Linked DNA regions of Saccharomyces cerevisiae S288C. Changing the gene in region 2 together with the main gene of any one other region gives a genetic interaction. Each region holds a gene or a part of one and is shown on either strand. Other genes may lie near its edges. The genes, in order: BEM4, PFY1, ASA1 and BUD6.

Evidence for each region.
Region 1: mutations in PFY1 (region 2) and BEM4 impair growth when combined (synthetic growth defect), as found in Saccharomyces cerevisiae (2 studies listed by BioGRID, with this or other methods).
Region 3: mutations in PFY1 (region 2) and ASA1 together harm fitness more than expected from each alone (negative genetic interaction), as found in Saccharomyces cerevisiae (2 studies listed by BioGRID).
Region 4: mutations in PFY1 (region 2) and BUD6 are lethal when combined (synthetic lethality), as found in Saccharomyces cerevisiae (3 studies listed by BioGRID, with this or other methods).

Annotation. Positions count from the first base shown.
Region 1 is NC_001148.4:241,717-250,278, reverse strand, and holds BEM4 (Bem4p), read left to right. Parts: upstream 1-4,058; coding exon 4,059-5,960; downstream 5,961-8,562. Other genes in the region: leucine--tRNA ligase CDC60, read right to left, coding at 17-3,289; YPL162C (uncharacterized protein), read left to right, coding at 6,252-7,073; SVS1 (Svs1p), read left to right, coding at 7,579-8,361. UniProt on the Saccharomyces cerevisiae protein: Probably acts as a GEF (guanine nucleotide exchange factor) for the Rho family of small GTP-binding proteins (G proteins) that stimulates the dissociation of GDP to enable subsequent binding of GTP.
Region 2 is NC_001147.6:547,827-554,563, reverse strand, and holds PFY1 (profilin), read left to right. Parts: upstream 1-1,676; coding exon 1,677-1,689; intron 1,690-1,898; coding exon 1,899-2,266; downstream 2,267-6,737. Other genes in the region: Paf1-complex subunit LEO1, read left to right, coding at 1-1,388; glycerol 2-dehydrogenase (NADP(+)) GCY1, read right to left, coding at 2,512-3,450; protein kinase RIO1, read left to right, coding at 4,318-5,772; RTC5 (Rtc5p), read right to left, coding at 6,004-6,737. UniProt on the Saccharomyces cerevisiae protein: Binds to actin and affects the structure of the cytoskeleton. At high concentrations, profilin prevents the polymerization of actin, whereas it enhances it at low concentrations. By binding to PIP2, it inhibits the formation of IP3 and DG.
Region 3 is NC_001148.4:706,749-711,680, reverse strand, and holds ASA1 (Asa1p), read left to right. Parts: upstream 1-1,852; coding exon 1,853-3,184; downstream 3,185-4,932. Other genes in the region: RNA-binding signal recognition particle subunit SRP54, read left to right, coding at 1-278; transcription factor SUA7, read right to left, coding at 543-1,580; YPR084W (uncharacterized protein), read right to left, coding at 3,339-4,709. UniProt on the Saccharomyces cerevisiae protein: Component of the ASTRA complex involved in chromatin remodeling.
Region 4 is NC_001144.5:767,075-775,993, reverse strand, and holds BUD6 (formin-mediated actin nucleation enhancer), read left to right. Parts: upstream 1-4,309; coding exon 4,310-6,676; downstream 6,677-8,919. Other genes in the region: MMS22 (Mms22p), read right to left, coding at 1-4,054; EST2 (telomerase reverse transcriptase), read right to left, coding at 6,798-8,919.

The DNA.
Region 1 (8,562 bases), on a different chromosome or scaffold from region 2:
CTTGAAATATTCTCCTTTAAATATTTTGGAAGACAACACCTGGGTTACCTGGAACAGCATTTTCAACAATCTTTGTTACAGGTGGAATTTCAACTTCTTCACCAGTAAAGATATCCTTACCGGTTTTGGCGCCATATGGGAAAGAAATTGCGCTAAATTCAGCAATTTTCAAAGCTTGTGCTGCCTTCTTAACATTCCTTGCAGCAGCCTTGACAGTATCGATTTCGCTGAATTGTAACTCTCTTTCAAACACATCCTCTGGCTTTTCATTAGCTAAACGTTGTTTCAATAGAGAAATGAATGGCATAGCTCTCTTCATTTCTTTAGGCTCAATATGCTCTCTGACCTTTTTGTTATCGTCTAAAGTCTGTTCGCTGAATAGTTTACGGACGATTTCCACGCATTGTGATTGCCATTCTGGAAATGATTCAGAGATCAATAAAGTCAACTTAACAGGTTTGGATGCATCGATTTCAGCAGACTTGCCCTTCTTCTTTTTTAGTGCTTGCCCTTCGCCTTCTCTTATGCTTCTCTGTAGATTTCTCAAGTAATCCAAAGCAGCCAGAACACCCTTATCTACTGGTTTGGATGCACGTGGAAATTTGGCATTTTGTACAGAGGTTTGGTTACCTAGAACTTCACGGTAAATATACTCAGCGAAATGAGGCGCAATTGGAGCCAGCAATAAGGCTTGTGTTTCAATATAACGTGCAATTAAATCTTTATGCATTACACCACTAGCTTCACGATAGTAATCCCTAGCAGCTTGGAAATCAAAAAGACCGTATTTCAAGGCATTCTTATAATTAGTCAATGCATACTGTTCATAAGTCTTTTCAATCAGAGCATTCATTTCGTGTTCAAACGCGATATCAAAGAAATCTGTAATTTCCCCAGTTCTCAAGTTAGATTCCTTGGTAATTTCTTCTGCCCACTCCTTCAAATTGAATAATCTCAGAATAGCAGCATTAGCGTTAGATTCGTCAAAATTTGCATCTTCAACAGTATCTCCCGCATCGGCAAACGCAATACGAGCTGCATCAGCACCGAACTTTTCAACCGTTTGTTCTAAAGTCATAAAATTACCTGTAGATTTCGACATTTTAGAATTGTTTAACATCAAATGACCGTTAGCTCTGATACCTTTAGGCCAGAATTTCTTTGGGAATAATGCAACATGTGTGTAAATGAAGAAAGTTAAATGGTTAGGGATCAAATCCTTCCCGGAAATTGAGACGTCTAATGGGTAGAAATACTCAAATTCCCTTCTCAACTTTTGTAAAGCAGGCAAAGGAATATTGGTGTTCTTGACATCATCCTGATGTTGGAAAATGTAATCGAAAACCTCATCTGTCATTTGATCAGCTGAAATGCCTAATGGTCCAATTTCGTTACCATAATAATCCTTAAATAGTAAGTGAGCAATGGTATAAAATGATTGATAAATAGTAGAGTCTGATAAAGACTCAACTAAGTATTTTTCATCCCAAGGCAATCTGGTACCTAACCCGTATGTACGGCAAACAGCCCAGTTTTTCAACCAATCCAAAACACCTTCAAATGCGTTTTTTACCTCAGGAGCAAATAATTGCATCCCTTCCAAACATTCAATTGCTTGTTTCTTCCAACTTTCTTCACCGTAATCAACGTACCATTGATCTTCCAAAGAAACGATACAGTCATCACCAGAACGTGACATGACCTGAGATTCTGGTTCGTTGTAGACGAAAGCTTCACCGGCGGCAATCATATCAGCCTTAACCTTGTTTTTGGCTTGTTCGACCTTCTCACCTTTATAAGGACCATATATCATGGTACCAGTGTAGTAATCTTCCTTGTAAGCAATTTTCTTGGCTTCTGCTAACAAGTTCTTATCCTTTGGAGATTGAATTTTTTTTTCTTCAACAATAGCCTTTGCAGTTAAATCACCATACTTTTCGGTATGCATAATTGGAACAATTTCATGGTCAATCCATTCAGGTTTAATGCCGTAGTATTCAGGTTTGTGCAACAAGTCCTTGGTGGTAATGTAGTCATCTGGTGAATTAGATGGTACACACGTGACGACACCAGTACCCTTGGTAGCAATGACAGTTTCCATAGGCAATATTCTTAGTTCTGGATATACAGATTGTGGGGCATGAATCTTGGTACCGATAAATGCCTTACCTGGGACAGTAACTATCGGCTTGTAGAAGCCTCTCTTTGGTGTTAGCTTTTGGTAAGACATGTTCTTGAATGCACGTTCAGTAGTGATAAAATAAGAATCACCAGCGTCAAATATACCATACTCAATTGTTGGAGAAACAAAACAACATGTTTGTCCATACATAGTTTCCGGTCTCAACGTGGCAGCGACAAAGTAGAATTTTTTGGATTTGTCAAGATCTGAGCTTGAATCAATGATTTTTGCGGCATCATCGGCGAACTCTAAAGCTTCAATTTTCACACCAATATATTCTTGTGGTGTAACACCTTCACCGGATTGTCTATCGTGATCCATACAAGCTTGACCATCTTTTTCAGAGTAAATAGTATAACGTTCACCGAATTTGATTTTACCAGCAGCCTTTAACTTGTTCATTTGCCATCTAATAAAGGCATCGTAATAAGGATTGGCATCAGTGGTGACAAAAGAACGTCTCCAATCGATACGAGCCCCAAGTGAAGTACAATCACTTTCACACAAAGGTGGGAAATAGGTCAACCAGTACTTGGCGTCGGCGAACTTAATGATTTCTTCTCTAGGGATACCAAGCTGTAACATGATTTCGAATTGGTACTTACCACGGCCCTTCTTGGCTGCGGCTTTAGATTTTTTAGCTTTGAATTTGGTAACATCCTCGTGGTCTTTCTCAGCCGGCGTTTCTTCTTTAATTTCTTCTTCTTCTGCTGGTACATTGTCGAAGTTCTTGCCAAAAAGTTCGGCTTCCCTCTTTAGTTTATCGGCACATGCTAAGATTGGCATACCTGTACAGTGAAAACCCAATGGAAACAAAGCTCTTTTACCGTTCATCCTTTCAAAACCAATAGAAAATTCGACTTTGGAGAGAGTAAAACAATGGCCGGCGTGCATAACACCGTTCATATAAGGATAGGCCATAGACGACATGAATTTAGGATACGTGCGATGTAACTCTTCAGAGTCCATTGTAATGGGCTCATCTTCGATTGATGGCGCATCGATTTCAAATTGGTGCTCTTCAGCCCATATTTTTTGGTACTTCTTTTCGATGGCGATTAACGCATCTCTACGTGCCGTGTTTTCTAAGACCAAACCAGAAGACATTATAGACTGGTTAAAGATATTTTTTTTATATTCTTCACTCTGGAAAAAAATTTCGGTGGCTTTACGTGATTATGATTTATAATAATACAATCATTCAACGTTTGAATAGAATATGCGTTAGGTTTCTTTTCGCTTTTGATTTTTTTTTTTTTTTCATTATTTGCGTGGGTGACTGATTTAGTTTTTCAATGTAAAAGAACCGTTAACGGCCAGACCTCGTATAAAGTGAGGATAACTATAGGCAATAATGGGCGATGTGTATGTAAGCACGAGCACTAGTTCAATACACATCAGAAAGAAACTTCGTCTAATTATTTCTTACCCAAGTAGTCACCCAAAAAGACCTTTTCAAAATATGACCTTGATATTCCTTGTCCGTCAGTTACCAGTTTTACTGTTAGCCGCCGAGGTCCTAAGGGCCTCGTAAGATCGTTCTTGTCTTCCCATGACTAAAGTTCTGCCACTAAGTTTAAGCAAACTCGGCTAAAATATTGAGCCAATATCGTATACTCATTTGTCTGATCTTCAAATAGTGAATCCCTTCCTAAACTTTCTTGTGATAAAGGTACTTAGTCAAAAGTATTTTTCTTTAACCATGTCAAAATAAGATCATATTACCCGCCGGCGGCAAGCCAAGCAACGTAAAATGGCTGAAGACAACGTAAGCAGGTCACTCGCGAACTAAAACTAACCGCGAATAACAAATCACCTCATCTATATTTCAGCCCCAAAAGATTGTGGTTTCAAGTGAAAATAACTGTCCTACTAAATGGATTACGAAGAAATTTTATTTGGTCTGCAACCGATCCTCAATGCGTCTTCAATAAAGGATGTTCCGATGAACGATGTCTACTTAGGAAGCTACCTAGCGGTAATGGACCAATTGGCTGTTTCGTTGAGAGAACCAAGTAATAGAGATATTGTTGGTAAAACTGGGCTGCTACTGAACCTAGTAAGAGTATTAGAACAAGCGCTTGATATCTGCTTTCATGATACGAGCATTTCAATTAATGATAAAATAGCGTTTTATGAGATCAGTTCTGAAGTGATTAGATGTATCGCTAACGCAATAATTGATAATGATGATAATCGGGAAATTCTCTTGGATTCTGGAGGTAAAAAGCTTCTTAATTATTATATAGGCGGGGTTCTTCAGCTGGACGAAATTTCTTCTGACAAGAGTGAGGATAGCTTAGTGGATAAATTACAGATGCGGTCAGTTGTGCTACTAAGGAATTTTTGCATTGGAAATCTCAAGTATACAGAAAATTTGGCTCCCTTCATTAGAGGTCCATTATTTGTTTTGTTGAAAACCACACAATATAGCTATTTGTCATCTCCCGAAAAAGTTGTTTTAGGTTCAGATTTATTGAACGATATTTTAAAAGTCAATTACTCAAATGTTCAAATAAGCGATCTCTTTTTCTTAAGCCAGTACATCAAAAAAATCTCTTCAAATGTGCAAAATAAAGAATTGCAGGCAATGGAAGATGGAGCAGTCGAAGCATATTCAAATACTGAAACTCAGAAGTTCGCTGGCCAAGGAAATCAAGAGTACATCGAAAAAGAGGAAGAAGATGATGAGGAGGACGTTAATTGTGAATTGCTATTAAATCTGTCAACATGTCTTGAAACTATTGTAGCCAAGGATGAAACTATAAACTTTACCAATGAGGAGCAGCTTGTGCTAAGCATGCAAAAAAATTTAATATTGTCCTTAGTTTGCTTAGAATCAAAAACCTTCAATAATAAGCTAATTGTAATGAGAAGACTCATATCGTGCGCAGGCAACATCTCCGCCAACCTAACAAACTCTAACAAACGAGAGCAATCATTATGTATCGAAACTATTAAGAGTTCCGCAAGTAGTTATGCCCTAGCCGCAGCTTTGATGATATTATGTAACTCAGTTGCATCCAAAAGTGACGCTGTCGCGCTACTGAAGCTCATATCTCTTAGTGAATTGATTCAAGTTGGTAGCTTGCTACAAGACCCACTACAATATCAAGGATTCCTAGATTTACTGAGGAAGCTGTTAAATCTGGAAAATACCATGTGGCTAGATATCAAGGACCTCTTCACCCTATTTCAGATTATGAGAAGATGTCACGAGCAAACTAAATATTATAACAACCTGAGATCGTTATTAACAAATTTATTAAACAAAACTTTAACGGTGCTTCCAAGTTCAAAAATACACAATTCAATAAGCAGTGATCCAACAATTATCTCTTTTATAGCAGAGCATGGAACGTTAACGTCCTGTATTGCGATGGATAAGCTGCTTGTGTCCAAGAAAGCCCTTCCTAAAGAAGCTATTACATCCCTATGGGATTCGATCTTCAAATTCCAAAATTTAGGTCAAGCAGAACAACTAAGCATCTCAGATTTATTTCATATCACAAAAACGGTTGGAATTTATTTAAAAGATTCAAGTGTAACAGCTGACGTGAATCCGATTGAAAATATACTATTCAAGGATTACATTCAAAAGTTAACCCTGATATTAGAGACCATACTTTCATTTAAAGAAAATAAAGATAAGGGTAGCGAGAGTTGTTTCAACAATGGGAAATTTATAGCGGGCATAATACTAAACATTGTGAAAAATACGAAATGCTTAACGCCAGAGGAACAAAATTTAGAAGCGCTTGCAAAATCGTTCTTTTAGACACGTAATCGCCTTACCTACGAGGGGAGAAAACGTTCCCTCTGCATGTATATATATATATATATATATAAATATTAAATCTTGAATATTGTTGGATTAAGCATGTGCTTGACAAATGGTGTATGGGTTTGTAGACGATGAGAGTGGAAGGGAGATTAAAAGTTTATTGCAGATGCGAACATCTGCACAAAAGTACTTGAATGTACTAAGCAGAAAAAGTTCTAATACATATTAGCAGGAGGCCCAACAGTCACACAAGTTCAGCAGAACTGCCAATTAATCGAAAAGAATATGTATGTTTCTAATGGGAAAGACACTTGCCAGTTGTTGGGGCCCGTGTCTCTTTTTGTCCAGACATTGATGGGTATGACAGCCGTGATTGTGTTATTGGTGAAAAGAAACTATGAGCATCCAAGGAGAAAAATGATTGTGTGGAGTTATGACATTGGAAAACAAATCATCGGCTCTCTTGGAATCCATTTTTTGAATCTAGGCATCAGCATACTGAAGAAAAGACGAAGGTCACTCTTCGCAATCACTGCAAAAGGCAATGATGATGAGGATCAATGCGATTGGTATTTTCTTAACTTACTCCTGGATACTACTGTTGGGATTCCCATTCTTTGGTTGTGCTTATACATAATTGAAAAAGTGCTAAAATCCTTACACTTCCAAAACATTGAAAGTGGTAATTATTTTCCATCTAAAACCGTTGGGAGCCACCCCAGAAAACCCTTATTCTCTGCCTTCGTGAAACAGCTGCTTATATTCATTGTTGGGCTGGGCGTGATGAAGTTCTGCGTGTTTCTAATACTAAACTACTTAGAAGACTTGGCATACTGGTTCGCCGATCTTATCCTTGGCTGGTCAGATTCATGGCCAAACTTTCAAGTTTTTCTGGTCATGTTTGTCTTTCCTATCTTACTGAATTGCTTCCAGTACTTTTGTGTCGACAATGTCATCAGGTTACATTCTGAGAGCCTAACGATAACCAATGCAGAGAATTTTGAAACGAACACATTCCTAAATGACGAAATTCCTGATTTATCGGAAGTCTCAAATGAAGTGCCTAACAAGGATAACAACATTTCCAGCTATGGTAGCATAATATAGTATTCCAAGGATAAGGAAAGCATGCACTGTTTATTTCCTTTCCTTGCTTAATTGATTTTTTTTAAAGGGAACAAACATTTTGATTTCAATTTCCACAAGCCTAGACTCTTCAACACATAATCTGTGGGTTATTGTTTGGGAAAGCATTCTCCGCTAGAAGAATGAAACTGGCGCTCAGGTTTGATTCTATAACTACGGCAGTTTTTCCTATTCTATTTTCGTTTTTTGATTTTCCCGCCGCATTGGATATTCAATTCGCGACGCTAATAATTGGCATTTCGTGTTCTTAAGTAATTTCGTGTTTCAAATAACCGTAAACAGAGAAAGACCCAAGAATTTCAGATGGCTTAGAAGAGGTAGACATTAAATCAATCTGTATGTGATGGAGAGGGAGTGTATTTAAAAGACGTAAGAAAATGAATTATCAAGATCCGTTATGGCCATCTAGTCTCTTTCTTGTACACTAGTTGTCTAACACAACCAACAAATTAGAATATATATCGCAATGATTTTCAAAATATTGTGTAGTTTACTACTGGTAACCTCCAACTTCGCTTCTGCCTTATATGTCAATGAAACTACGAGCTATACACCATACACGAAGACATTAACTCCAACATACTCTGTTTCACCTCAAGAGACAACATTAACGTACAGCGATGAAACAACCACCTTCTACATAACATCTACTTTTTACTCTACCTACTGGTTCACTACCTCCCAATCAGCTGCTATTATTAGTACACCTACTGCAAGTACACCTACTGCAAGCACGCCTAGCCTAACTACGTCCACAAATGAATACACCACCACCTATTCTGACACAGACACCACCTACACGTCTACTCTGACCTCTACTTACATAATAACTCTATCTACGGAATCCGCCAACGAGAAGGCTGAACAGATTTCCACGAGCGTCACAGAAATTGCTTCTACAGTAACCGAATCGGGCAGTACATACACCTCTACTTTGACCTCAACCTTATTGGTTACTGTATATAATTCCCAAGCTAGTAATACAATAGCGACATCCACAGCTGGGGACGCCGCCTCCAATGTTGATGCCTTAGAAAAGTTAGTCTCTGCTGAACATCAATCTCAGATGATTCAAACCACATCCGCCGATGAACAGTACTGTAGTGCGTCTACCAAGTATGTTACAGTTACAGCTGCTGCAGTTACCGAAGTGGTTACTACTACGGCGGAGCCTGTTGTTAAATACGTTACTATAACTGCCGATGCTAGTAATGTTACAGGTTCTGCTAACAACGGTACCCACATTTAATGCGTGACGTTGAATCGAGAAAAAAAGCTACTTTTAACGAAACCTTTACTAGTTATCCTATATGGGATCACTAGTATTTTTTGATTTACGATTCAATAAATAGACTAGAGACAACTTTCATATCATTCCTTAAAAAATACATAAAGCGCAAATTCAACCCCATTGATACATATATAAGTAGTTCTATTATGACTTTCAAGA
Region 2 (6,737 bases):
CTGAAAGCCCACAGGATCAACCACAGAAGGAGCAAATCAGCAATAACGTCGGCGTTACCACCAATAGTACAAGCAATGAGGAAACAAGCCGCTCTCAAGATGATAATGTCAAGGAAGTCAATGGAAATGATGATACTAAAGAAGAGGAACAAGAAGAAGACGCAGAACTAGATGATTTATTTGGAGATGACAATGATGACGATGATGATGATGATGTTAAAAAATCGGAGACTGAAAAAAGTGATAGTGATAGTGATGAAGACGACGAGGGAGAGAATATCAACCATAGAAGTCGTCATAGAGAAAGTCTCGGGTTAGATGATGATGAAGCAGAGGAGCAAGCCATGTACACCCGAAAATTTTATGGTGAGGATGCTAATAACTTTTCTGATCAAGATGAGACTACTCACACTTTTAAAGAGGAAAATGTAGAGCTTGTCAGACATATTATTCCAAGTAAAGCTAATGTGAATGAAACGGCGTCTCACAACGAAATTTTCTATGCTAGAATTCCCAACTTTTTAACTATCGATCCAATTCCTTTCGACCCTCCAAGTTTTGAGGCCAAAGTAAACGAAAGGGCAAGCAATTCAGCTTCTAGGGAGGATCAACTGGACGACCGCCTGATTGATGAAAACACTGTTAGATGGAGATACTCTCGTGACAAAGACCAACATGTCTTTAAAGAATCAAATACACAAATAGTGCAGTGGTCAGACGGTACATATTCGCTAAAAGTTGGTGAAGAGTGTACAGATATATTGGTCAACGATACGAGCAACACTTTTTTGACAGTATCGCATGACCAACAAGAGTTGATCCAGTGTTACGAAGGGGGTGAAATAAAAAAGACGTTGATGTTTATTCCAACTTCGACGAATTCAAAAATACATCAAAAACTAAGTAAAGCTGTTATAAGAAGGAACCAAAGACAAAGCAAGGGTCCTGGAACATACATTGTAAGTATGGATCCTGAAGTGGAAAAGAAGGAGTTAGAGAGAAAGCAAAGCCAGATTTTAAGAGACAGAAGGAGAAGACAGCTCAAAGAAAAGGAGAAACAAGAATCCCCAGATGCCGCTTTTGAGACGGGATTTAGAAAGCAAAATTCACCCACTACCTATGGAGCCTCGAGAAGAAATGAATATGAAGAAGATGACTTTTTAGTCGACGACGATGAGGAAGAGGAGGCTGCGTTTGACGACGAAGAGGATGATAATGAGGAAGAAGAAGAAGAAGAGGACGCGGATGAAGAGAACGCCTCTCGTCTAAGAAATTTAAAAAGAGAAGGAGCAGCAATGTACAGAGAAGAGGAAGAAGAAGAAAAAGATAGGAGCGAGACAAAAAGAAGAAGGGTTGCGGTCATCGAGGACGACGAAGACGAGGATTAGAGGAGACGTTACTTTGTTTATATATATTAGTATGTACAATCGCAAAGAAATGGAGTGATGACATGTTGTAGTATTTAGTATGAGGTTACTGTGTGGGAGGTTTTACCATGATTTTTGGCGAGAACACGCCATGAAATGTCTTTGTACGAAACTCATTACCCGCATTAATATTTTTTTTCTTTTTAAAGCTCAGTTGACCCTTTCTCATTCCCTTCTTAAAACAACTGTGTGATCCTTGAGAAAAGATAAATTACATACACAACATAAACCCAACTACGATCGCAAATTATGTCTTGGCAAGGTATGTGAACGAGACAATTATCAATTGATTAAGAAAGAAATGAGTCGGAGGTTAGCTTGTGTGACAATGTTTGGCAATGCCCGATTTTTGTTGATGCGCGTAATTTCGAAGATTAACCACTCAGAGTAAATTACTAACTGGAATATCAAAAAACATATGAAATTTCAAACATGAATTTCTTTCCGTTTTTTTCTCCTACTTTTAAACAGCATACACTGATAACTTAATAGGAACCGGTAAAGTCGACAAAGCTGTCATCTACTCGAGAGCAGGTGACGCTGTTTGGGCTACTTCTGGTGGCCTATCTTTGCAACCAAACGAAATTGGTGAAATTGTTCAAGGCTTCGACAATCCAGCTGGTTTGCAAAGCAATGGTTTGCATATTCAAGGCCAAAAGTTCATGTTGTTGAGAGCTGACGATAGAAGTATCTACGGTAGACATGATGCTGAGGGTGTTGTTTGTGTAAGAACTAAGCAAACCGTTATTATTGCTCATTATCCACCAACCGTACAAGCCGGTGAGGCCACCAAGATTGTCGAGCAATTGGCTGACTACTTGATTGGTGTTCAATACTAATTTATGCAGGTAAAGTTTTCTTGCCTTATACACCACCTATTCTGGCATCTGCGGGATTTCGCTTCCTATTTTACAAATATTTTATTGATTGACGCTAATTATCACTGTAAAAGGCGCACTTTTTATATGTAGTCACATCCGGTATTTAACATATTTACGAAACAGTCTTAAGAATATCGACATTTGATATACTTATGTTTAATTTATCTACATATTACAATCATACGAGAAACACGCAAAAACAATTACTTGAATACTTCGAAAGGAGACCAATTTGGATGTACAACCCTTTTTTCGCCCTTTTCCTTCGATATGTTATTGATAGCTTCAAAGTCCTCAGTAGACAAAGTAAATATTTTCCTGTTCGTTTTGATTCGATCGGGATTCACAGATTTTGGCAAGACAACATAACCTCTTTGGACGTGCCAGCTAATAACAACGTGTCCGGGTTGAACGTTATTTTTCTTCGCAATTTCAAGGATAACCGGTTCCTTCAATAGTGGAGCATCGGTACTACCTAACGGAGAATAAGCTTCAACCACAATGCCTTTACTTTTACAAAAATTAATCAATTCGTCTTGAGGTAGTAATGGATGTATTTCGACTTGGTTAGCAGCTGGCGTAAGCTTATTACCTTGAGATGCTAATAGATCTTTCAGGTTATTTATAGAAAAGTTGGAGACTCCAACGGCCTTAGTTTTACCAGTCTTTGGTAGTTCCTGCATTAATTCCCAGGTTTTGATGAAATTCCAATTGGTGATATCCACTGCACGAGAACCATCCTTCTTTGTTGGCACACTCAAGATGTCTTCATTTTTGATGTAGGCTGGATCTAATCTGGCAGGCCAATGCATCAAATATAAGTCTACGTAGTCCAATCCTAACCTCTTTAGTGATTGATCCAGCGCTACTTCAGGTTCGTGGTGTTGTGTACACCATAACTTTGTAGTAACAAAGATTTCTTCCCGAGGAACACCTGAATCCTTGATGGCTTGACCGACTTGGTCTTCATTACGGTAAATAGCAGCAGTATCAATGTGTCGGTAGCCATCTTTCAAAGCGGTTAAAACAGCCTTATAAGCATCGTTCTCTTTCGACTGCCACGTACCTAAACCTATTTGAGGGATTTGGGCTCCAGTATTTAGAGAAAGGATTTTCGTAGAATCATGTAAAGTAGCAGGCATTTTTCTATCTTAATTTAGTAATGAGAGCTGTCCAAATTTTAGCTTGCTAAGATGCACCTATTAAGCTCTCATCCTGAATCAAGTCATTAGAATGTCTTGATTCTCCCGGTTTTATACGCCCAGTAAAGCAATTCTTTACTGCCGTAGTCTTTTCCTGAAAGCTCGGTTTCTACTCTAGGGAATTAAGGAGAGCAGCGGTGTGCGATTCGTCACACGGGTGAATGCCTGATAGGCATATTATTAAGCCGTGTTTGCAATCTGCGTGCTAGATTGATTCTACCCCTTTCTGAGAAGGCGAAATGACCTTGCTATGACAATGAGGGAGAAAAGACCGCCCTTCCTTGTTCTTCCCCGGAATAGTCTGCCCCGATTGTTCGCCGGTGTTATAACTTACAATTCTTATACACTCCATAGGAAGTTTGTTGACAAGAGTTAAGTTTCAAATATCTAAAGCCAGGAAGTATGATCACCCAAGCATATCCATTGCAATATGTAAGACATTCAAGCGGATTTCTGGGACTTTAGAAAGTGAAATTTAAAAAAAAAAAAATTTAACAGAGGTCATACTTCCAAAAAAAAAAAAATGTAGAACTGGGCGAAATATCATCAGCTCATTCACTCTAATGCGGCCCTTCTGTAACCTCGAGCAAAGAGCCCAAATAACTTCATCTCTTCTCTCTTACGAACTGAAATATTCTCATGTTACCTATTGAGTAGTTGCGGGGACATTGGCGCGCGCAGAAAGAGTGAAAAATTTTATAGTGGAATATAGAAATTGAGATGAGATGAGATACTAAGACTAAAAATAATAGTAAAAAGAAGTTAAAACAGATTTAGAGATTCAAACTCCGTTATTTTTAGAAGGTCATGTCCTTGGAAGATAAATTTGATTCATTGTCTGTGTCGCAAGGTGCCTCGGACCATATTAATAATCAGCTCTTAGAGAAGTATAGTCACAAAATAAAAACTGATGAATTATCATTCAGCAGAGCGAAAACATCAAAGGATAAAGCAAATAGGGCGACTGTGGAAAATGTCTTAGATCCGAGAACTATGAGATTTTTGAAGTCTATGGTCACCAGAGGTGTGATTGCAGATTTGAACGGTTGCTTAAGTACTGGGAAAGAAGCTAATGTTTACCACGCTTTTGCAGGTACCGGTAAGGCACCCGTAATAGATGAGGAAACAGGCCAGTATGAAGTTTTAGAGACAGACGGATCCCGTGCAGAATATGCCATTAAGATTTATAAGACCTCTATCCTAGTCTTCAAAGATCGTGAAAGATATGTTGATGGTGAATTTAGATTTAGAAATTCCAGATCTCAACATAATCCAAGGAAAATGATTAAAATTTGGGCTGAAAAGGAATTTAGGAACCTGAAAAGAATTTATCAAAGTGGCGTCATTCCAGCTCCTAAGCCAATAGAAGTTAAGAACAACGTCTTAGTTATGGAATTTTTAAGCCGAGGTAATGGATTTGCCTCACCTAAATTAAAAGATTATCCGTACAAGAATCGTGATGAAATTTTCCATTATTATCACACAATGGTGGCATATATGAGATTGCTGTACCAAGTTTGTCGCCTGGTTCATGCCGATTTGTCAGAGTATAACACCATAGTTCATGATGATAAACTATATATGATCGATGTTTCCCAAAGTGTGGAACCTGAACATCCAATGAGTTTAGATTTTTTAAGGATGGATATCAAAAACGTTAACCTTTATTTCGAGAAGATGGGTATAAGTATTTTCCCTGAAAGGGTTATTTTTCAATTTGTCATATCAGAAACTTTGGAGAAATTTAAAGGTGATTATAACAATATTAGCGCCTTGGTTGCATACATTGCTAGTAATCTACCAATAAAATCTACAGAACAAGATGAGGCAGAAGATGAAATATTCAGATCGCTGCATTTAGTTAGATCATTGGGTGGATTAGAGGAAAGAGATTTTGATAGGTATACTGATGGTAAGTTTGACTTACTGAAAAGCTTGATTGCCCATGATAATGAACGCAATTTTGCTGCTTCTGAGCAATTTGAATTTGATAACGCTGACCACGAATGTAGTTCTGGCACAGAGGAATTCTCAGATGATGAAGAAGACGGCTCAAGCGGATCTGAAGAAGATGACGAGGAGGAGGGCGAGTACTATGACGATGATGAACCAAAAGTTTTAAAGGGGAAGAAACATGAGGACAAGGATTTAAAAAAATTGCGCAAGCAGGAAGCTAAAGATGCAAAAAGAGAAAAAAGGAAAACAAAAGTCAAGAAGCACATCAAGAAAAAATTGGTGAAAAAAACGAAATCAAAGAAATAATGCGGCCCTGTGAAAATACATTTGGGAATCGTTGTTTGGAGTCGAAGAACAGAAAGTAGGTCAGCAATTTAACGAAGAAAGTTCAAGACTAAAAGTGTAATATCAGTATCAAAAGTTTGGTACTTTTCATACAAGTGCAATAAATATTAAAATAAACAATAGCCTTATTTAGTGGTCTTGATTTTTAGTGAAATCAATCCCAATAACTAAAAACAGCAAAAAAGGCAGGCATCACATTGAACCGCCACCTTGATGTTGGCCAACTAAACCTGCCATTTCCAGTAAGGCACGGTCTTCTCCCAAGCTTCTCAGGTTAATTTGCTGTCTTCTTTTAGATTCTGCTTCTTCCCATTCCAACTGTTTGATTTGCTCTTCTAGTTCTTTCTCACCACCACAGCCCCATACCTCAACATCTTGAATCAAAAAATGCAATTCATAAGGGGAATTTTCCTCCTTTCTTTCCATCGACAATAAACCAGGGTCTAATGAACCTCCGTAACCAGTATTTCTAAACACAGCAAATTCTAATGTGCTGTCAAAAGTAAGCGACACGTTCCCTGGTATGTATCTCTTGGATGCTGGTTTTATTAATGGTTGTTTATCCCCGATTCCAATTCCGCCACCAATTGTATTGAAATAGATCGTGCCTTTTTGGTTGACTTTATAAATATCCTGCCTGGGTGATATTTCTATTATTCTCGTATTCAGATCGCCAAAATAATCTTTATTTGTTACTTTCCACGGATCGTCTATGTACACAGCGAAAGTAGTTTTCCTTTTATTCAAATGCGATGCATCCATCATTTGATCTGACTCTTTCAATTTAGGAAATTCTTCAAGAAAATGGCGGTATCTTGGATTCTTCTCAGCTGCGTATTCTTCAGAATTTGTTATCCTCATTCCGCTAACAACTAAAATCGAAGGCGCCATCCATTTGAACACCTTTGCTTGCAAAGACCTCATTG
Region 3 (4,932 bases), on a different chromosome or scaffold from region 2:
CCAATGCTAGGATGCCTGGCATGCCAAACATGCCGGGTATGCCAAACATGCCTGGTATGCCGAATATGCCTGGTATGCCAAAAGTGACTCCACAAATGATGCAGCAGGCACAACAAAAGCTGAAGCAAAATCCAGGTCTAATGCAAAATATGATGAACATGTTTGGTGGCGGAATGGGCGGAGGAATGGGCGGAGGAATGCCTGATATGAACGAAATGATGAAAATGATGCAAGATCCACAAATGCAACAAATGGCAAAACAATTCGGTATGGGCTAAAGGCCACCATTTGAATATACACAGTATATATATATATGTATGTATGCATATTTCAAATAACTTGTTTAGCTTTCATCCTTTCGAATACCTCCTTCAATAAAAAAAAAAAGAAAAATCTTGTTAAATTATAAAGTGTTCATTCTATTTTTTTGAATTGTAAAATAACAAAATAAATATTCGATTGAACTGCCATGGAAAAGGTTCTACCCTCTAACACGAGTACCCGTGCTTCTTGTTCCTATAATTTACTGTTTTATCACTTCATTATTTCTTTTCAACGCCCGGTAAGTTATCCAAAGACACTACACCATTAGCAATAAGCTGCGGATCCACAAGCTTGTCTCTATGCTCATAAAGTATCTTGTAACCAGATTTGATGGTACCTTCAGTAACTTGCAAGGTTTGGCCCACTTTCGCTGCGGTAATAGGGATCTGAAAGAGCAGGATGTTTAGATAGATGGAAACAACAGCGATAGTAATAGGGGATTTACCTGCAATTTCTTTGATCTCTTTACATTTCTTTGCGGTATATTCAGCAGAAGTAGTGACTTGCATCGGTAAGCCCAGATGCGAACAAAACCTGGGTATATAAGTTAGGTTTTGTGCACCACTCATATTATCGGTATCAATCTTCAAGAAACCATCTTCGCTCTTGCCTCTTAAAATGTTCTTCATTATGTTTAAAGTTTTACCAAACTCTTTAGTTTTGACATGGATTAATGACTGGATTTCTTTAAAAGTCCTTGCCACTTCAGCACGTCTGCAACCAATCAGTATGGATGCAGCCATTATACTCTCCATTGATTTCCCCTTCAAAGTTTTTTCATCGTGGCAAAGTTTATATGCTTCCTTGGCACAATCTTTCACAATCTTCGGTAATTCAGCAGCATCACATAGCATGGTAATCTTAGCAAATGCAGCTTGTACTTCATTATCCTTTTTATCCATCACATTTTTTCCTTGTGCCTTATTCAGTTCTTTGGTGAATCTCATATCCGTGGTTTCACCCTTTCCGATCCTTGTAGATAGGTTATTCCCATCTAAAAGAGGATTTGAAGCCTCACCAACACGACTTGGGTCATCACCGTTGTGATCATCATTTGAAAACGTTCTCCACTCCGACCTGGTGTCAACCAGTTTATCTGATAGTACTAGACCACATAGAGCACATACAACATCCCCTTCACTAAATCTTTCAACGATTTTTGGTGGGTAGACTTTGCACTCCGGACACGTCAGCACAATATTCAGATTAGGACCCCTTCTTCCTGCTCTTTTATCTATGCTCTCCCTAGTCATCATTCTGCGTATCTACTTCTCCCCTTCTCTATCACTGGATCGTCCACACCAGCGTCTATTAAGTTGTCTTTATAAGTGATGATTATTCTCTTCACTTTTTTTTAACTAAATTTATAACAAAATTTTTCGATTTTTAAGCAAATATTGAGACGAAACGGTGATGAGTAAGACAGAAATACAGAGATACTAAGCTATAAACTACTATTTAAGCACGTGCATAAATTGGGTGTGATGTGCAGTCAAGGCGAGCGTCGATTACAATGGGCGTAGAACACATGAGAGGCTTTAGTAATGAGATAATCCTGAAGAGAACGTTGACTTTATCCGATTTCACCTTACGTTACCATAAAAGGGGCATCACAGCTTTGCAGGTCATCAAAGCACCGTCAGTTTCGAATGTGCCAGTCTTGTTATCCGGTGATAACTACGGTTATTTCGTTATGTGGGACCTGGTGACCAAGAGACCGATTACACATATAGAAATCGAGGGCAACTCGCACATTATAGCGTTTTGGTGGGTGGAAACTACCAATGTGCTGTACATTCTTTCGAAAGACTCCATGCTGCGAATTTTTGAGCTTGATTCATCTACACAACTATCTATAGATTTAGTTAGAAAGCTTAGCCAAGCCAATAAAACGGATCATTTACAATGGACTAAAATCTATGAAATGCCCATAAACACACTGAATTTTGCGAATTTCATCATCGAAGCTGAAGTGAAACCAACCAAAGATAATAAAAGTTATAGATTGGTTTGCTGTCATACTGATGATTCGGAAACTATCGATATATATCAGATAATAGAAGACTCCACATTTAAATTGAAAAGACCATTCAATAATATTAATTTCCCCAGATTCTTGAAGCAGCAGAATTTTTTAGGAATTTCGAAAGACTCCAAATTCGGTATCATAATGAGATTTGCTAAATTAAACGATGTCATATTTTTAGGTTATGAAAATGGGTTTGTAGTCGGATTTAAAATTACTTTTGATGAAGGCCTTCAAAGGGACATTGCAGAACTGGTCCATGTTTCTAACGATCATTATCCGAATCCAATACTTGATATGTGTGTTAGCGGGGATGAACTTTATAGTTGTTCAACAGACGATTTCATAACCAAGTACAAAATTCCAGTGAACTTACAACTTGAGACGAAATACCTTAGAGATGATGCGCTTTTGATAAAATGCCCAAGCTCACTGAGAGTCAGTGAGCCATCAAAAGTACATCTTCCCTTGAAGAATATTGGTCATATTGATAAAGTAAAAGACGATTACTTAGTCGTGAGTAGTTGGTCAGGTATGACCATTGTTTATAATATGCGGACTTCAGAAGTGGAGCAAACTTTTGTGAAATCAAAGAACAACCTGGTCGTGAGTGATAGCTCTATGGGAGACCTAACAAACGGTAGCGGCTCAAATACCGAATCCAGCTCGAAATCCCATAACTATAAAGTGGGAGCCATGACATGTTTGGAATCGTTTGATGTGCAGTCAGATGGGTTGAGGTTAGGACAACTTAGACGTATTAAAGCGCTGGCGAAATGTAACTGGTGTTTAATTGGATATGAAGATGGTACCATAAAGCTCAATAAAATATAATTATTTTTTTTCCTTTTCTGTTTACATGGTTTCAGAAAGAACATTTGTATATATACATACGTGCCTATATATACATATTTCCTCAATCCAAGTAAAAAAAAGTGCGATGTATCATGGTCATAAGAATGTTAAAGGGAGTTCTTCCCTCTATCAATTATTTTATAATTTTCTTCAACATATTTTTGTTTAAGCCGGCATTGTTGTTTTTCTTCTTGTCATTCATTAAATGAGAGTTGTAAATTGAACTTGAATTACCACTACTACTACTTCCATTGGAATTAGAAACCAGTAGCTTCATCTTTTCTGATATTTCCTTTATTAGTAAGCTAACCGCCACATCGACATTTAAATCATCCATGCTGTCTATTCCAACAAATCCATATTTCCATTTTGTTGCTAGTTGTCTTCCCATTTCAATCAACATTGGGCTTGCGAGTTCATGATTAACGTGAGAACAGACGATAATGCATGGTGGTGGTGAATCGGGAGATGAGGGGTCTAACTCGATGGATTTTAGTTTGGTATTATAGGATCTCAATTGCTCTATTTTGGCGCTTTTCTCTTTGCTATTTTTACTCCATAGATGTCTCAGGCTGTAAACCAATGAGTAAATATCATCCTCTTTGCCTTCCTCCCATCTTTTTTCATAATTTCGAAATTCAGTCCAAGCATCTAGTATGCAGTTTCTAATCACTTTTAAAAGTTCAAATCCACCATCGCTGACGTTTTCCGTATCTGTGTTCATCACATCATCTCCATATTCCGGAGGGCCTCCAATATGGTTTAATTCAGGGACTGCGCTATACACCAAGATATAACCGTCAACTTTACCATTCAACTCAGAGGCACCAGAGGCAACCAATAGTGAAGTAGTAGATACAGGTCGTCTTGGTTCATCTGCTAGTCCATGTAGGATTGATTTTCCTAAATTTCGGAAGAGAGAAACTTCTAAGAACGGCACCACATTATCAGGACTGAAGCCAGGCGTATCAATAATATCAATCTGGATTGGTGCATAAGTGGGTGGAATGTAATTCAGGGGCAATTTAAAATGCTCGATAACGTTAAGCTGGTCTGCCTTGATTTTAGGAACACTTTGAGAGTTAATGTCATTGGAAAAAGTTTGATACAGCGGAGAATCAGATTTATCCAAAGATAGGGATCTCCTGGAGTGGCTTTTGTTGTGTAACCTCACTGATTGAAAATTATCAGTGGAAGCTTGAAACACCAATGGCGACAGCAGTACATTTTTGGAGACCTGAGGTGAAGGGAAGATAGGCTCTAAGGTTTGGCTGCTTGGGGAACGAAGGCAAAGTCTTTCGTGAGCTTGTTCGTCTAATATAGCTCTGGCCAGGATCGATGACGGAACAAAGCCGAAAAGCCAGTTAGTTTGGTTTCTTGTTGGATAATGAACCTCGTGGACGATATTAACAGTAAGCCTAGATACCAGGGAGGTCTTTCCGGTAGAAGTGCCCCCCAGAACGGCCAGCCGTATGGGTCTCTCTTCAGAAGCCTTCTCTGACATTTCTATAAAGCTCTATGATGGACGAGTCAAGAGAATAAAAGCTTGGCTGCGTCTTATTGAACTCTTGGGATAGGAAACAACGTACAGAGTTCTAAAAACACAACAGTTTATTGATAGTTAGTTTTGCATCGATGTTATTAGTGTTTTTCAACTGGTTCACTATTTTTCAGGCTTAAACTCGCTGCGATGGGATTAAAAAATAAAAGATGGATGTGAGTAGTAT
Region 4 (8,919 bases), on a different chromosome or scaffold from region 2:
ATTCATCAGGAGATACCTGCTCGAATTTCATTTTTAAAACCTTGTTGAAAAGGTCTATGAAGTGAGATAGAAGAAAATTCTTGATATTCACGTCGAAAAAAGGTCTGTTCTCAAATATGTGTGCTATCACCAGGTCAGAAAAAAATGCAAAAGGGCTCTCTAACATGGTGGAGGTGAATAAAGTGCTTAAATTGTCAAGATATCCATCAATTTCATTCCCAGTGCAACAGGCTTGAACAATACCGGTTTCAACAAATGCAGCTTTGGAAAGTATATCACCTGCTTCATTGAATGAGTCCCAGAACGCACATTTTTCGTCTTCATCACTTGAAATACCAAGTTCCCTTCTTAGACTGATGAAGAGTTGATTATTTCTTAGCTCAGTCAAGCAATTTTTGTTAAGAAATTCGAGATATTTTGCCAAGAAATTTCTACTGATGTCCCCTTCATCGTAATGTTTTTTCGCCAGGGATAAGAAAACAGCTAATAGATCTTGATATGCATTTTTTTTCAATGCTTTAGAAAAAATATAAGCCAATCGCAGGAGTTCATTCTCATCGGAAACAGGTTTCAAATCTGCTACTATGATATGTGCCCTCTTCAACAGATTGGAAAGAAAGTGATAGAAAGCGTCATCTTTGGAAATGAGCAGCAAATCAGAAGCAATGGAATAAAGCGGTTTTTTCAGTAATTCAAAAGAGTCTGTATCACAGAAATCGATAATAAGGGAGTGAAATGCAAGCTGAAAGTGTAATGCAGCATCTAAGCCGTTATAGGTAAAGAAAGTCCACCAGGTAAATATACCAGAATCTACGAGGAATTTTCCGATCTGACAATAGCATTCTATCCATCTTTCATTTTCTTGAGCCTTGCTCTTTATAAACTGAAAAAGATAATTTTGCACCCAAGTTGGACCCAGCACATCTAAGCTCTTCAAATATACCTGTAATAATAAAAAAAAAGACGACTCGAATATATTTTCTTGAGACATGGCCACCAGTGAAGGATACAGAAATTTGAGCATACTCACGCTTTTTCTTTTCATTTTGGAGACTAAATTTGTGAATTCTTTCAAAAAATTTTCTGTTACTCCCGATATGGAAGGTTGTTGAAGTACTAGTTTATCAAATAATGACGCAATAAATTTTCCACTGAATGGATGATTTTTGATTCGACTGATTTCCAGGAATGAAAGGCTGGCCTGCATGATCAATGTTGTTATCGTCCTGACTGTGTTCTGTGTATGCAAGTTTAAATATTCCTTACTATATAACGGTCGTGTTAGCTCTTGGAAGCGCTTCTCTAAGTTTAAATCAAAACGTGTAGCTAGAACAATTAGTAGGTTGAGGCGGTTCTTCAAAACAGATAGAGAATCATTCATAGAAATATCACCCATCGGTATCACACGTTGTGTATCAGAACTAGACAATTCACACAACGTCAGTAGATGCAAATATCTGTTAAACATTAATCGACTCGTAAGCTGATTCGTTGGAGGATAAATTATCTTATTGTTTTGTGACAAATCAGACTCTTCTTCAAAGTCCGAAAATCTTCTCCGTTTGAATATGCGATCGAGAGAAAGAATCAAAGAATTTGTAACATTCCAATTACAAGTCTCAATGCAATAATTGATGAACCGAAATGCCGAACTCAAGGGTTGGAATTCAGAATCTAATCTCAAAACCTGCCAGCGGCAGACTTTCGTAGGAAATATGTTGACCAGCAACAGTGAAATATGAGGCGAAAAGGGGTGCTTTTGAAATAAATCCCACAAAGCTTCCTTTTTATGTATGACATCAACGACAGCAGAGAGAATATAATAACTTGTGTACAGATATTGCATTGGATTTTTCATAACAGAATCATAACAGACAGAAAGTAATTTGAAGAAAGACACAATATGATCTAAGAGTTTGACATCCATGTCGAATTTTGCAGCGGCTGAAATTTTGTTATATCTTGATATTTCTAGAAACATTAATTGGCATGCCGCAATTTGAAAAAAATGGATTGGTTTAGCTTTTTTCCTCAAGCTATTGACCTTCGATCTAAATTCACGATGAAATTCACCTATTAAGTCGAATAGTTCAGGCATGTCAAGGTGCACCAAAAAAGCAATAAGGCTTTCGTTAAAGTGAACTAGTTCAGTATCAGTGATACCTTTATCAATGATTACTCTGAATATTTTCTGTAATGATGTAGCTATATCTGCAGGATTCAATTTTGATAGCAAGAAACTCTTGTCTGACAACTGGATCTTGAAGAAATTAGGTGGCTCAAAAGGTTTTTTTAGTAAAATTGAGTCAAGTACGACCATTATTGGTCCAAGCTCTTGATTGGAGTCTTCTTCCTCAAATTCCATGTCATGATTAATGCTGTCCCTATTACGTACATTTGGCTTTGTGAAAGCGTATCGGTTCGTGGGAACCTCTACAACAGTATTGAAAACTGGTTTTCGTCTCGATTCAAGATCAGCGGAGAAACTTGAGTATATAGGTGCTTTCTTCTTCCTTCTTTTTTTCTGTGGCTTGAGAGAAGAGCTGTCATCCTGTTCTAGGGATTGAGATTCTAATTCTTCAAAAAAATAATCATCAATTACATGATTCTTCTTAGAAACAAATGAAACTGGATTATTAGCTGCCAAATGAGATTTATGCGCTGACCGTTTTCCGACTTTGATAGCTTTTGTACTTGGGGCCAGACAAGAATTTCGATATTTGTACTTATATCTTCTCACTCTCTTACTTTTTGTATTCAAAAAGTTGGCATCATTGGTTGCTTTAATTCTTTTAGGTTTAACCAACATCTTGTCAATTATACCATCGTTATGCTCTTCAGCAGCATCTAGGGAAATTACACTTTGATTATCTTCGGCAGATATATTGTATTGCTCACTAAATCCGCTATCTGAATGCCGTGAATTCAAATAAATAATAGGCTGGTCTTTATAAGACACATGTGATATGCAGCTCCCCGGTCCGTCATATTCCAGCTCATACACTGGTTCATTGCGGTATTCCTCATTTAAATTAAAACCAGAAGTTCCAGCCGATTGTGCGTCTTCACTATACTTGCTCTCATAATATTCTTGCAATTCCTTTAATTCCTTTTCGTTAGCCTCACGATCCTCTGGAAGATTTCCTAAGTATATATCTGGAGGGGCGTTTTCCTCGATATCCAGTTCGTCATCAGGTGCAATAAGATCGTTCAATAAGTTCTGTTCTTCATCTTCAATATGGGCGCTTCTGTTCATTTTCCTCTTAGCCACACCCTTATGGTTCAATAATTGAGTTTTTCTTTTCGTGACTTTTGAAGACTGCTGCTTTTGCAACGACTTTTCCCAAGCAACTCTTGGCAGGACCCCACGGTAACCAGTTCTTACATTCAATACTCTTCCTCTAAATATTACTTCGTCATTTTGAGTATTCTGTAAATTTGTACTAGCCAAGTCTTGTTCATCTTCCGTAGAATCACCTGATTGAAATACTATATCCTGGTCGAGGTCTTTAAAAGTACGATGCCTTTTCTTTGGTATTTCTTCATCACTATCATATCTTTGAGATTGAACCGAGCTGTTTTCGGGTTTAATGGAGTCGATTGTAACATCTTTCTGCTCATCTAAGGGTTTACCAGTTCTCTTTGTAAGTAAAATATCATTTGAGTGAATCACTGTAGAAGCGTTCTTCGGTAAGGTCAACTGATTCGAAATGCTGTCAAAACTAGAGATATCATAGCCCTCTAGCAACTGCCTATGCTTTATGCGTTCTAAACTGTATGGCATCTTTTGAATAGCCTTCCTCTTCCTCAAAGACCACCGAAGCCCCGTAGTAACTTGTGTATCAGTTACTACGGAAGGAGTACAAGATTCTCCAGCAGTGGAATCCAGGCTCAACCTCTCAGTGACAATTTTCTGTGATCTGCTTGCTTCTTGGACGTTTTCCTCTGCCCATAAATAATTTTCATTGAATTCGGGTTCGTATATGATACTAATTTCCTCATCAGTGGCCTCAGAATCTGATATCACAATAGGATTCGGTTCATCAACATCCATAAGCTTATCTGCTGACGCTACCACTAAACTTCAAATCTACAATCCTATCTTTTATTCTTTCACTTCTTGAATTTAATTTTACACGCAGATGCGCTTTACTCTTTGAAGATATCTCGCTAGCCGAGCTGAACGAATTTTATCCTACTATTATGCATTCTTGAGATAATGGCATCAAAACAAACCCAAGAAAAGGGAAAAAGAGTAGAAGCTGGCTGCCAAATTGGTGTAGTAATCCTCGTATTATTTTAAAATTAGATGAAGATGGCCGTGGATGACCCTACGTATGGCACCCCAAAGATTAAAAGAACTGCTTCTAGCAGTAGTAGTATTGAAACGACAGTAACAAAGTTGCTGATGTCCACCAAGCACCTCCTCCAGGTCTTAACACAATGGTCTAAGGGGACAACCTCTGGAAGATTAGTATCTGATGCATACGTTCAGTTGGGCAATGACTTCAAAGTCGTATCGAAATTCTTCATGCATGCGAAAGTTGACATGTCAGATGTTGGTGATGTGCCAATGGCTTTAAGACGTGTATTGGAAGTGACATTGAGGGAACCACCATCTGATGAAACTTTAAATAAACATCTGCCAAAAATCAGAGAGATTATAGTGACACTTTTAGACAAACTAAAGGTTAAACAAGCAATTTTGAAGAATATGCAGCAAGAGCATCGGATAAGTGTAAAATCACATCATCAACAAAACCCTTCCTTTACTAGTAACCTTTCATTGGGTAGTGAAGGGACCCGTGAGGGGACTCCATTAAGTAGCAGAAAAAGCAGTATTGTACGTGATCAGAGGCAAAGCGATTCAGTCGAAAACAGCTATGGGGAAAAAGTGAATTCTACTTCTACGGGAACACCCTCTGCTCAGTCAGCAGAGGCAACATTGACAAAACCAAGAACTAATATTAAACAAAACCTTAAATCTAACAATGCTCCAAACGCATCTGATGATGATGATGCACTTTCACAATTGAAGAAGGGAACTAATTTACAAAGGAGAGCCTCAAAGAGATACTCTGCCTACCATATGGCTAAATTGACAAATCAGTCTACAACAGAAGCTGCTGCGGCTGCCGGCCTCATGACAACTCCTTCACCCTCGATGTTGCATCTAGAGGAAACCGTAAGAAAGTCAAAGTTATACGGAAATAACAACAATGATGATGATAGAAACATTAATTCAGCTGAAAATAAGGGTAAAAGCATTGACGATGTATCAAAGGCGAGTCCATTGGCGAAAACGCCATTGCCTATTGAGAATGTTCGTGCATCTCCACGAAGATTATCAAGCGTTGTTACAACTTCGCCAGATAAAGCCATGAATGGAACTTGTCCAGTATTTTTAAGGATAGGAGACAAAACAAAGAAGTGTCATGTGCAACTGCCTACTACAAAAAACGCATTAAGGCTCCTATTTATTGAGCGCTTTGCGTATTCTCCTGGAGCAAATTCCTTCCCAGACATATATATTATGGATCCTCAATATGGAGTATTCTATGAATTAGAGGAACTAAATCTTCTCGATATTAAAGAAGGGTTTGTTATCGAGCTAAAGCTCGAAGAGAATCCAAATAATACGATCAAGGAATTCATTGACACAGTTAAGATGGAGATATCGAATAGTCAGAATGATATAATAAGACATTTAAAAGAAATGAGTTTTGGTTCTGCAATTAGCGGCAAGCAAACGGAAGTTTTACCACAACCTGGCCTTGAAGCTAACAAACACGATCTTGTGGGGCAAAACAAAAAAGATGATGATAAAACGATCAAAGATATTCAGTACGAATTGGGGAAAATAAAACAAGTGCATAATATTAATAGGTCAAATATTAATGAGACTATTTTCAACATTTTACGAAAGGTCGATAACTTTAAGTCTTTATCATTTTCTGCCAAAAACTCTTCCAACAGAATGTACATGGAAAAATCACAGACCGAACTCGGTGATTTATCCGATACTCTGCTAAGTAAAGTAGATGATTTGCAAGATGTAATCGAAATTATGAGGAAAGACGTTGCTGAGCGTAGGTCTCAGCCCGCTAAAAAGAAGCTAGAAACCGTATCCAAGGATTTAGAAAATGCCCAAGCAGATGTACTTAAACTACAGGAGTTTATTGATACTGAAAAACCACATTGGAAAAAAACTTGGGAAGCTGAGCTCGATAAGGTCTGTGAAGAACAACAGTTTCTCACGTTGCAGGAAGAGTTGATTTTAGATTTGAAGGAAGACTTGGGTAAGGCATTAGAAACTTTCGATCTTATTAAGTTATGTTGTGAAGAACAAGAAAAAAACCCTTCGAGATCAAAAAGTAATCCTATTTTGCCTATTATGAGACCGGGCACATTTAATCAGGTAAGGGAGCAAGTTATGGTGGCCGTCCAATCTTTAAACCCTGACCACGATAGTAGGGTCGAAGCTATTGACAAGGCTGAGAAGATGTGGGAGATGGAAAGAAAACTTAAAGCTAGTAATGAATTTGATGATGAACTGGAAAATTTTGTGGGTAATTCAAACCTGAAAAAATCGGGAGGCTTTGAAGAAGTAGAAAGGATAAGAAAGCAGAAGGATGAAGCAAATTTGAGAGCATATTTTGGGCCGGGGTTTACTTAAATACACTAATTTTATGAAAGCTAACGGAAAAGAGATTAGTGCTTTTGGCTTATTACAAAGTTTGCGGCAATATTTTCCTTATCAGCATCATAAGCTGTCAGTATTTCATGTATTATTAGTACTAATTAACTATATGTATATATATATATATATATGCTTGCAAGTGTTGAATTTCCTTTCTCAAAAGAATGATATTATCTTTAAATTTTGATGTGTTTGAAGATAGGCTTTCCAAAAATCCATTCAATATGGTGAATCGTACCTCATACTCGATTAAAGGATCACATTTCGTAATTGGACAACCGCTGACTGTCATTTCAATGATGCGTTGTAAGAACGAATGAAATTGCATATTTTGCGTAACATTAATTGATAGATCCTTAAAAGCAGATTTATAACATTCCGAAATGTTCTTTACAACATGATCAATTTGCATGAGAACGGTGTTTGTTGAATTTAAATTTGTGTCAATTGTTTTATAAGAGATTCTAGTGTTAAACAGCGCTATTAAACTTCGAAATATCCCTTTACTAGATTTCGAACGGATATGGAAATTATTCATTGTGCTTGAATGTTTCCAAACTTCCAATTCTTTAACAAATATGTGCATTGCACAAAATTGAATAACCGTATCATCATCTGATTGGGAGCTTACGGCTAAAATTTTGTCTCTATTGGCTTTCGCATTATATTTTTGAAATCCGCCCATGGCAAGCTTTTTGATATTGATCACTTGCTGTTGGTCTGTTGATATTATAAGGAAATCGTCAGCCAGTTTTAAAATTAATGTGTCCTGGCTAGGACTGGCTTTAAACTCGCTATAAAACTCCAGAAGATCGTCATACACCAAATCAACGATCGGAGCAGATAAACTAGAGCCCTGAAAAAGACCATCTTCTCTAATGTAGCACTTATCTTCAACCCACAAAGCTGTTTTAAATATTTCCATCTCTACAACGTTTATAACATCCTGATTTGATAAATGAACCGTCCTCACATTATCTATGTATAGCTCATAAGGTTTTGGTACTCTGCTAGCGTTAACAACATTAAATAACTTCAATACACCTGTATTGGTATTGAAGAAATATTGAGATCTAACGAAAAACCCATTTTCATTTTTTAGCGCATCCTTGAGTATCCTCATACATTCCATCCTTGGTATGGAATCATAGCAAGATTTGACATCAAATTTCATGAAATAAAGCTCTGGTAAGACATTATTAAATTTCTTTAAAAGTCTCTGCTTAAATTCTTTGATACGGTCAGCTATTTGCGTTGGAGAATATATTTTAGTAAAACTAGTCGGCCTTTTGTTTCTTAGGTATTCTAAAATTTTTTGAGTGGGCTGGATAGCATTTTTGTGATTCTCCTTATAAATTGTGAATTCTTCTTCGTCTGCCCCTCTGCATGGGATGGCAATAATCCTGAACTCATTATTACTTTTTTTTGGTATAATCCTCATTTTGCTATGATTGAAATTGGACAACGTGTAACTATTATGGTTTCTACATACGTTGTTTTCGACTAAGTACGTCTTAAAATATTCTACGATAAAAGGGGTGATAAGTTTATTCCAAGTATCATGTCTAAAGTAAACAATTGTCACTGTAGAAGATATTTCGGTGCAGTAAAAAAAAGTCTGTATAATTTTGGGAATTAGTTGTCTAAATAGCCAGGAAATGAAACAAATCGCCAATTGATTCAAGTTTTCAAAATTGTGCTTGGTGAACCAAATATCAGAAATGAACAACCACCGAAAATCCTTTAATCTTAACTTTTTCAACAAACTATCAAATGGTAAATAGCCATTTAAGGGTAAACTTAATAAAAGATTTAGATTCTTGATAATTTTTCCTTTATTTTTCTTTGAGCCAAACATTTCTTGGGGTAATAACTTCTGTAAAATAACAATGATAAATTTCAAGACTCGTTCCTTTGGTGATTGCCTACTCAAATGCGACAAGTCCAATACGGTCCCTTCCAATGGTGGGCAAATACTATTCAAAATAGAAACGTAATTCAAACGCTTATGTCTCTTTAATAGCTTTTGCAGCGTCAAATTAATTCGTACCTTTAGTCTCTGAGGAATTTTAACCAAATTTGTGGGAAAAATAGCTTCTCTCAAGTCAGTTAGCTTTTTGATAGATGATGATGAAGGAAGGATCTTGCTATAAGGAAAAAAAGAAGAGGAATTTATATTGAGCTTGTGTAAGAATTGTTTATTTGTCACTGGTTCTGTA